2 linked regions of the Schizosaccharomyces pombe genome follow. The gene in region 1 interacts genetically with each later gene. Each region holds a gene or a part of one and is shown on either strand. Other genes may lie near its edges. The genes, in order: php4 and fxn1.

The links.
Region 2: of php4 (region 1) and fxn1, a mutation in one rescues a mutant of the other (synthetic rescue), as found in Schizosaccharomyces pombe (one study listed by BioGRID).

Annotation. Positions count from the first base shown.
Region 1 is NC_003423.3:1,914,618-1,918,870, forward strand, and holds php4 (CCAAT-binding factor complex repressor Php4), read right to left. Parts: upstream 2,276-4,253; 5' UTR 2,121-2,275; coding exon 1,233-2,120; 3' UTR 758-1,232; downstream 1-757. Other genes in the region: SPOM_SPBC16E9.02C (CUE domain protein ), read right to left, coding at 3,544-4,253. UniProt on the Schizosaccharomyces pombe protein: Component of the transcription regulatory CCAAT-binding complex. Required for the reprogramming of the cell for iron use. Down-regulates pcl1, sdh4, and isa1 underlow-iron conditions.
Region 2 is NC_003421.2:594,684-598,941, forward strand, and holds fxn1 (frataxin), read right to left. Parts: upstream 2,576-4,258; 5' UTR 2,396-2,575; coding exon 2,159-2,395; exon of another isoform or gene 2,079-2,158; coding exon 1,984-2,078; exon of another isoform or gene 1,830-1,983; coding exon 1,685-1,829; 3' UTR 1,320-1,684; coding exon of another isoform or gene 810-1,319; 3' UTR 768-809; downstream 1-767. Other genes in the region: SPOM_SPCC1183.02 (glutathione S-transferase), read left to right, coding at 377-529, 810-1,319; RNA metabolism pathway protein Pet127, read right to left, coding at 2,931-4,258.

The sequences.
Region 1 (4,253 bases):
GAATTATAATTTGATGTTCTATAATTGGGGTGAATGCACCCTAATTGACAATAGAGAATTCTACGAAAAAAATCATGCATCCAGGATAGTCATATAGGATTTTGGTTAAAATTGGCAGCACAATATAGTTTTTGATGCAATTACAGTTAACATGCATAATACTTGTTTTGAAAAAAAGTTATGAATAAAAGCTCAATTGTAAGCACATCACAAAGAACGATTTTTAATCGTAATTGACGATATGTAATTTTGGATTTCATATAAAATTGTAACTACTTATTAAATGATCATTAGGGGAAATAGCGCACACTGTTTTATATCCTCTTCAAATTTACAAAATGAAATTAATCAATTTTAGCAATTTACCTATTTTATATGATTGAATTGAATTGAAAAAACCATGAGTTGATTATGACGCTGAAAGAAAGACATATAAGATCCTTAGGACACTACAACTCTTTCTACTTGAATGCGAAAGTGGATTGGTCTCACCAAAAGATTACCGTACACAAGAACTTCGGTGCTCTAGCAAGTTTTCTTTCAACCAGGGCAATTGCAAAACGAAGAAATTCTAGTGGTACACCACACTGTTAAAAAAAATTGACTAGCATATTAACATTGTTAGATTATTCACTTTTTAAATTTGGAAATACGAAGCTTCAAACATAAGCCATAATAAACACAGTGAAGGCTTTAGCATTAAATTTATTAAAAACACTGCTTAGCAGTTTGTAAAGTCAAATGTTTGCTATGAACATTTTGAGTAAAAATATAACAAAGATTTATTCTTTTCTATACAAATCAGAAAATATATAAAAACAAAACATATAGTGAAATTAACATATATAACAGAAAAGGAAGCAATGTAATGAACAAAGCGATCTAGACTAGAATATGTCAAGGAAACATACTTTACGACGTACAGCCAGTCTAGTGAGTAAAAAAAAAACACACTCTTAAAACAAATACCAAGAACACGAAAAATAAAATGTTGTAATATTTCTGAATGTATTGGTTCAAATACCAGTAGTGAACGTTAGTATTAACAGAAAGAAATCCAAAAAGAACGAAAATGCACAACGAATAAAATAGTATGAAGCAAGATAATTAAGTCCGAAAATAAAAATTCCGTACCATGGAAAAAGGTAATGGAGATCACTTACAAACAGAAAAGTCGCTGCTGAGATGCAATAACAAGAGGAGATGAGAGATGACAAAAACTTTTGGGAAACTTAGGAAGAAGAGGATATGGAAGTGACGGGACGAACATCGTTAAAATTTGGTTCCATGGTAGGAAGTTTGAAGGCGATTGAAGGACCTGCCTTTAACATCGGAGCAGACTTCGAGGACTTGTGTAAGTCAATAAGTAGTTGAGCATAAACCTTGGTTTCCTCGGATTCACGGACACGTTTAACAGATTTAGGGCTTCCAGAGTACAAACATCCTTCTACACTATTGCAAACACCACGTTTACGTATCTTCTCCATTACTGCTGGGTTTTCAGGTGTAAAATTAATTTCGTTTTGGGGAGACATAGATACACGAATTCTTCCATTTTCGGATGGAACGGACTTTGCATCTTTACTGTCACTATCCACACGAATTCTCTTGGCCGAATCACCCAAGAAGGCATGAGGATCTAGCTCAATGGGAATCTCTGTATAAACGGCATTCTTAGCACAGGGCGGCTCGACCGGATAATTGTACTGATTTACATAACGGTTTTCATTCTCAGTAGTCGCAGAATCTGGCTTGACAACTTCAGAGTTTACTTCGACTTCCTTGGGGCTATCCAAAGTAGAATTCTTCAACTGAGCCTGCAGCATCTCCAACTGCTCAAGCAGCTCGTTGTTCTCCTTCTGTAACTTTCCGATCGTATCCTGATATTGTTTTTCACGAACACGGAATTTGGCTTCCTCGACCGACAAAGCTGAAGTCGGCCCAGGTCTTGGTTTAATAGGTGCCTTTCTTCTTCCCAGAGCATCTAACGCAGGTTTCCTTCCTGGTTTGGGACGAGGAGGAACAACCCATTGTTTAGAGACGCGAATCATCGGCTTTTGAGGTGCTGGAGAAGCAGAAGATGATTTTTCCACTTCCGATGGACTTTTAGACGATTCCATGAGCAAAAAAAAAGTTGGGGGGATAGGAGATATCAAGTACAGAACTACACTTTTAGCAAAATATATAAATCTTTATTTTCCAATACTCCAATGCCTCTACTGACCAAGCTTAAAAATCTCACTTTTTCAAACGTTTGTCGTTGGTGGTTTGTTTTAATCTGATAAAGAGATACGATTAAATTATATCTGATCTAAGTGCCGTGTGGTTCGATGATTGTACTGTTAACCCGGTATGCAACACCTCGTTATATCTTTAAAGACTCAATTTTCGGGAAAAAACGGATTAGTGAACAGGTCGGCTTAGAGGCGCTGTTGACATACATTCTCAATACCCATCATTTCAGTTACAGAACCAATTAAAAAACGCGGGTATGGTGGACATCATCTGATTAAAACCGATCGACCTAATAAACTCTGGGCTCTGGCTATGTAATACTACAATCATTCGGCACACCAACTATCATAGTAATGCTTATCCATGTTACTTTTTTGGAGTTAAATTAATGTTCTGACTCACTGCTTTTCTCATGTCATACCGTCCTTTGAAGATTATTTAACATTTGTTTATATTTTTGATATAATGAGATGAAACGAAAGTGCACTAACACATGTGACTGTTTTTTGACTCCTAGTATATAAGAAATGTGAGTGAGTTAAAACAAAGCTTCATCTCACAAAATAATGAATTACTGATGTCAAAAAGTCTGCTCTCTTCTAACGCGGTTATAATATAGAACCGTATTAATGGTTGCAGCTTTTTCCTCTTCATGGAATCGGTATAGATTATGTCGGGGAGACCGACAGCATAGCTTAAAACCATCGTGAAGTCGTTGCTTCGTGCCATGGCTCGTGATGACCGAATGCTACGTACAGTTTTTATATTTTATATCATTTTTTAGTTTGATTTATGTTGTATTCAGTTATTGTTGTAGTTAAAATACGTTGTTTTAATAATTCACGTTGTTTCGTGCCTTCTCAATGAATATCATTTTTTTGTAAGCATCATATGTCTCATGTACAGTAGTGGTAAAAAGAATAAAGGTTGCTATGCACGCAAGGATGGAGTGAATGTATGGATACTTAGCTACTCAGTTTATCCAAATGGTTTCGATAAAACTTCAAGCACAATCTTAAATTAAAGTTACTTTGCAAATTCATCAACGGGATTGCGATTGTCGTGAAAAATTTAATTGATTATTAATAATTCAATTATAAAAATATGAAACAAAAGAGCTCGAAAAAACATTACTTATAAGAAAAATCGAAACAGCGCTAAAACATTTACTGTAAAGCTGAGGAACACCGAAAATAGCAAAATTTAAATCTTCAAGCTACTCGTACCCTGAATACTCAAGGCATATATAGTACCATTAGCTGATTACAACTCTTGAACCTATCATGATGTGCCTTGTTGTTCTTTCCCTTAAGTCTCTTTTCCCGAATTTTGTAGATCAGCAGCCTCCTCGATCTTTTCCTTAACATCTTTGCTGTCAACTTTTTCAGCCTTTTCATTTGCCTCTTTATTATCATCCTTCGCAGGCTTCTCGTTAGTGTCCTTACTGTCAGTCTGTTCGACTTTGTCCGCAGTTTCTTTGCTATCGGTCTTTTCCTCCTTGTCATCGACCTCTATACTATCAGTCTCCTTAGCCTTGACATCGGCCTCTTTACTTTCAGTTTCTTCGACCTTGTCCTCAGTTTCTTTGCTATCGGTCTTTTCATCCTTGTCATTGGCCTCTATACTATCAGTCTCCTTGGCTTTGACATCGGTCTCCGTTTTACCAGTGTCTTCATTTGTTATCTTTGTATCTTTCTCCTCAACATCCTTATGAAGACTAGCTTTGTTATTTTCGTCCTTACTCTCCTTTTCTTCCCCAACGTCAGATTTCTCTTCTAAATTGGCTTCCGAATCAGCATTCTTGGCTTCAGTTTTCTCAGAAATTTCAGCTGTATCAGACACATCGGATGCTCCTTTACCAACAGCAGGCTCATCAGTTTCGGTTTTTTCGGCTTCAACAGAGGTAGAGTCCTTTGGCTCAGATGTTAGTACCTTGGATTTAGCATTGGATGATCCCATTTGTTCTTCTGATACGGTCTCAAGCGTGCGAGCGGCTTGCTTTCGTGACTCGTCGGGTT
Region 2 (4,258 bases), on another chromosome or scaffold:
ATGACCCAAAAAACATTAATGTACCTAAGCTATTGATGGAAGCTAGCAGTATATTGCTTGCAATACCAGTAATGATCTTTATTTTGTTCAATCAATGCGAAAGATAGAGAATTAATTTACTTGAGAAAAAGTATAGGTCGTTATGCTTACCAATTGCCTTTTTCCATTGTACAAAGCTCGTTCTCGTAATTTTTACATTTGAACCCCTAATTGATTTATTTTTCTGTAGATGTTAATTTATTGTTGTAAAAAGTCCATTTTTTACAAACCTAGAATTCTCTTCTTTCATCTCATTTATATTGTTGCTATATGTGTTTTCAGGCCAGCGACTCACTCTCCACAAACCAACCTCAATTCATTTTCGAAATATATCATCATGTTTTTGGGCACATTATATTCTTTCAAAACTAATACGAGAACTGTTTGCCTTTTGGAGTTGGCTAAACTCCTTGATCTCCAAGTTGATCTTGTTGAGACTTATCCTCATAAATTCTCTGCAGATTTGGCTGCAAAGTTTCCTCTCCAAAAGGTATGTAATTATAAATTTAATTTAAAAAAATTTTTGGCAATATAAGTCGGATGTCGTGTATTGGAATCTGTAGGATTTTACCGTGGTTTAATAAGTGGAGGGTTTTATAACGTTTTGCAAGTCTGTTTCCAATTGTGGCTTACTTCATATAAATGCCAAAACACTGTTTACAAATTATTAAAATTCGACATTTGATTTGAAATGTGACATGCTAATATTCGTTCACCGTACTTATTTTACGCATAACTTTTTAGGGTAATATTGACTAATTAATTACTAGCTCCCTGTCTTCATTGGTGCTGATGGCTTTGAATTATCTGAAGTTATTGCCATTGTTAAATATTTCTATGAAAAGGGAAAGCACAATGACAAGGAAGGACTTGGTCCTGTCAATGAGGTTGAAGAAGCTGAGATGTTAAAGTGGATGTGCTTCATTAACTTTGACATCGTAACGCCTCAAAATGTCCGCCCTTGGGTTGGTATGTTCCGTGGTAACATCCCTTACGAGGAGAAGCCTTTCAAGGAATCTGCCACCAGAGCAATCGATAGCTTGAAGATTCCCAACGAACTTGTTAAGGATCGTACATATCTTGTAGGGGATCGCTTCACCCTCGCCGATTTATTTTTTGGAAGTTTACTTCGTATATTCTTCAATTCCATTATTGATGAAAAAACACGCAAGGAGCTTCCTCATTTAACTAGATATTATATAACTATGTTTCATCAAGCAAAACTTGAAACATATTTTCCCTTGGAGTTGCCTTTGACCGTTACTGTGGCCAAGAAGTAAAGAGATTTAGCGCTGATGCTCCTGCTACTATTTTATATAACTCCAATAAAATGCGTTCTTTCACAAACGCGTGATTTAAGATAGAAGATTGAAAGAAAAAGAGAAGCTATGGAAATGTAACTAATCTCTTTTATTAATAGCTTAAGTATATTTCAAAATAGATTGCTCACAAACCTTTAGAGCAAACCATCATCATTGTGATGAGCTATACTTTTAAATTTTTAAGATTCTGAGATTTACAAAGACTCTTCTAATGAAGTAAGTAAAATTACTTTTATAAAATAAATTGTAATTTTTTGTTTAATTTGGGATTTTGTTGTTCAACTTTTAAGACAAGCTCATCGTAAGTTTCATATTGGTCACCTCTAAAAATCTTCGGACTTTTTGAACTCAATGGGTCGCGAAAACCATTTACTGAATTCGCTCGATAAGATTCCTAGTAGAGTCCCTTCATCACGGGTTGAACACCAAGTTTTTGATTTGAGAGAATATTCATAATGTTTGGGACCACTGGTTTTAGGTTAGTACCGATTCTAACAAGACTAAACTTGGATGCTAGTCTAATATAATGGGACTTAAGGTCATAATTATACTAAGACTAAAAATTTCCTTTAAGCACTCGATACTATAGGAAACATGTTTGGCAATAGCTGACTGTACCTACCTTACTGGGGATGAAAGCCAAATTTGATGAGCAGGAGGCTGCTTATTTATTACATAAGTCCCCTTTTCACCAAGCATAAGAGTAATTACTCCATTCTGCAAATCTAGTGTTAGAATCGTTTCAACACAAACTCAGCTAGACTAATTGTAATGTTTGGGCAACTCTGTTGACATACAGCATATTGAATATCATAATCTTTTTTTCCTACTTCTTCTAATAAATCCTCAAATGTATCATTTAAGACATCAAGGGTGTCATCTGCAACTCGATGATACTCAAGATCCGTCAAAGCTCCATTATGCCGTACTTGTGAATAATACCTACAGCGTAGCCCAAAAACATTAGTCGAGAATTCATAAGGCTTCAAAAAAATTGGGGTTCGTCTGCGAAAGGCTGCTCGCAAAGACTGCATATTTCATATCACGGCTCTTTCACAATCTCTCTTGTCGGTGTAGGCTTAATTGCTAGGTACAAAGAAAGAAAATAAATGATATTTTTCGATAAAATTATATGTCAATAATTCTCTTAATTGCAAATATTACAAAATTACTCTTCAATGAGTAGTTAGCGGATAATTCGTGTGTTCGCACTTGGATCAAATTACGGTCGCAAACTCAAGAAGTGAATTTACATAAAGAAGGAATTCTGGGTTTTGGGAAATATGCTGTACAGAACGACTTAGTCCTTTTCGAATAAAGTATTTATATCTAAACGGTTTGAACAATTGTACTTTAAGGTACATCGCTTCAACACTCATCCATAAAAGGGTAATGATCTTAATTGAGTTGCAATTAGTAGAAAATGGAAAATAAATTAATTAATCCACTAACAAAAAGTTGTCCATTTAAGCTAAACAAAGCTAAATAAATAATAAAGTTAACTATATCATTAAATGTAACACATCAACTTAAGTTAAAAACAATCATTTCTCAATAATTTGACCATCGTCAATTCCTTTTATAATATTGTTCGGAACAAGCGTAATAGTCGTGTAACAAACTTTCAGGTGGATTTGAGATTTTGCTTTCTCGTCTTTTTATGTCATCTCTCAGCCGTATGTAATTTCTTAATAAATTATCCTGATCACGAGGTTTTCGAAAGTGATATTTAATAGACCATGTTTCCTTTTCATCAAGATGTTTGACAACAGACTTGTGAACACCATTCACAAATTGTAGGGCACAAACTTCTAATGCACAAAAATTGGAAGGTGACACAGTTTTGGCTTCCAGATTTTTCTGACCATCCAGTAAATCAAACCCCCTGTTTTCTTTATCATCTGCTACTTCTAAGTACACTTTTAAAGGGGGGTTAGGTACGTCTTCAGTAGTAGAAAGCATAACTCGAAATGAACGTTTAGGGAAAATTGAAGTTGCATATTGCAGAATTTTTTCCAACAATTGAAGATTTAAATTAAATTCCGCTTCGCCTATTTCACTGCTTCCATGAATTGCTCGGTCCATCGCCACAAGCGGTATATACTGAAAACCAAAAATATCGCTTGTGTTATGATATGCAACGAAAACTCCTTGCATGTAACCAAGTCTGGCTTGCAGACTATACTTCATAAAAGCGGACCTAATTAAATCAAAGTACTCTCGCTCGAACGAGATTCGGTTTCCATAATAATGCGTAAGTTTATAACTCTTGAACAATTCCGGCTGTGTCTGATTCATACGAACCCCAAATACAGCTCTCGTCTTCAAATCAAAGACGCCAGATTCAGGAATTTTCTTATCGTAACAATCCAGTTGAGATCTAACCAAAAGCGAAGAACATCGACCATACTGAAAGACATCCTTTAAAGGCTTCAGTACACCGTTTGAAGAGGGAGGTTTCTTGTATAACAAGAACTGGTCTTTATCAACAGTAAAAAAAGTCTCCAACGATTTCCCAACGTTCATCAATATGATGTTGACAGAAGGTTCTTTGGTCAAGCTCTTGTCTTTGTCTATACAATAAAGCCCGTTTTGATAACTTATGTGTACACTACTAGCCGATCGGCATAATCGTGTAAAGTTACGTTCATTTGGACTAATGTAGAATCCTTTTGACAGATCTGAAAAATTCGGAAATTTCCATTTACTTATAAAGAAGTGTAATTGAGACATTAAGCCAGTCAAAGAACTAGTGGAACCAACAAATTCAGCACCGATAGAATTTGCGACTTTTTGTAATTGTTCATCTTCGGAAGGAGGACGAAACTTACTTAAAAGGCCAAAATTAAATTTATCAACTGGCAAGATTTTTGACAAGTATTCATCCCATTTATAGT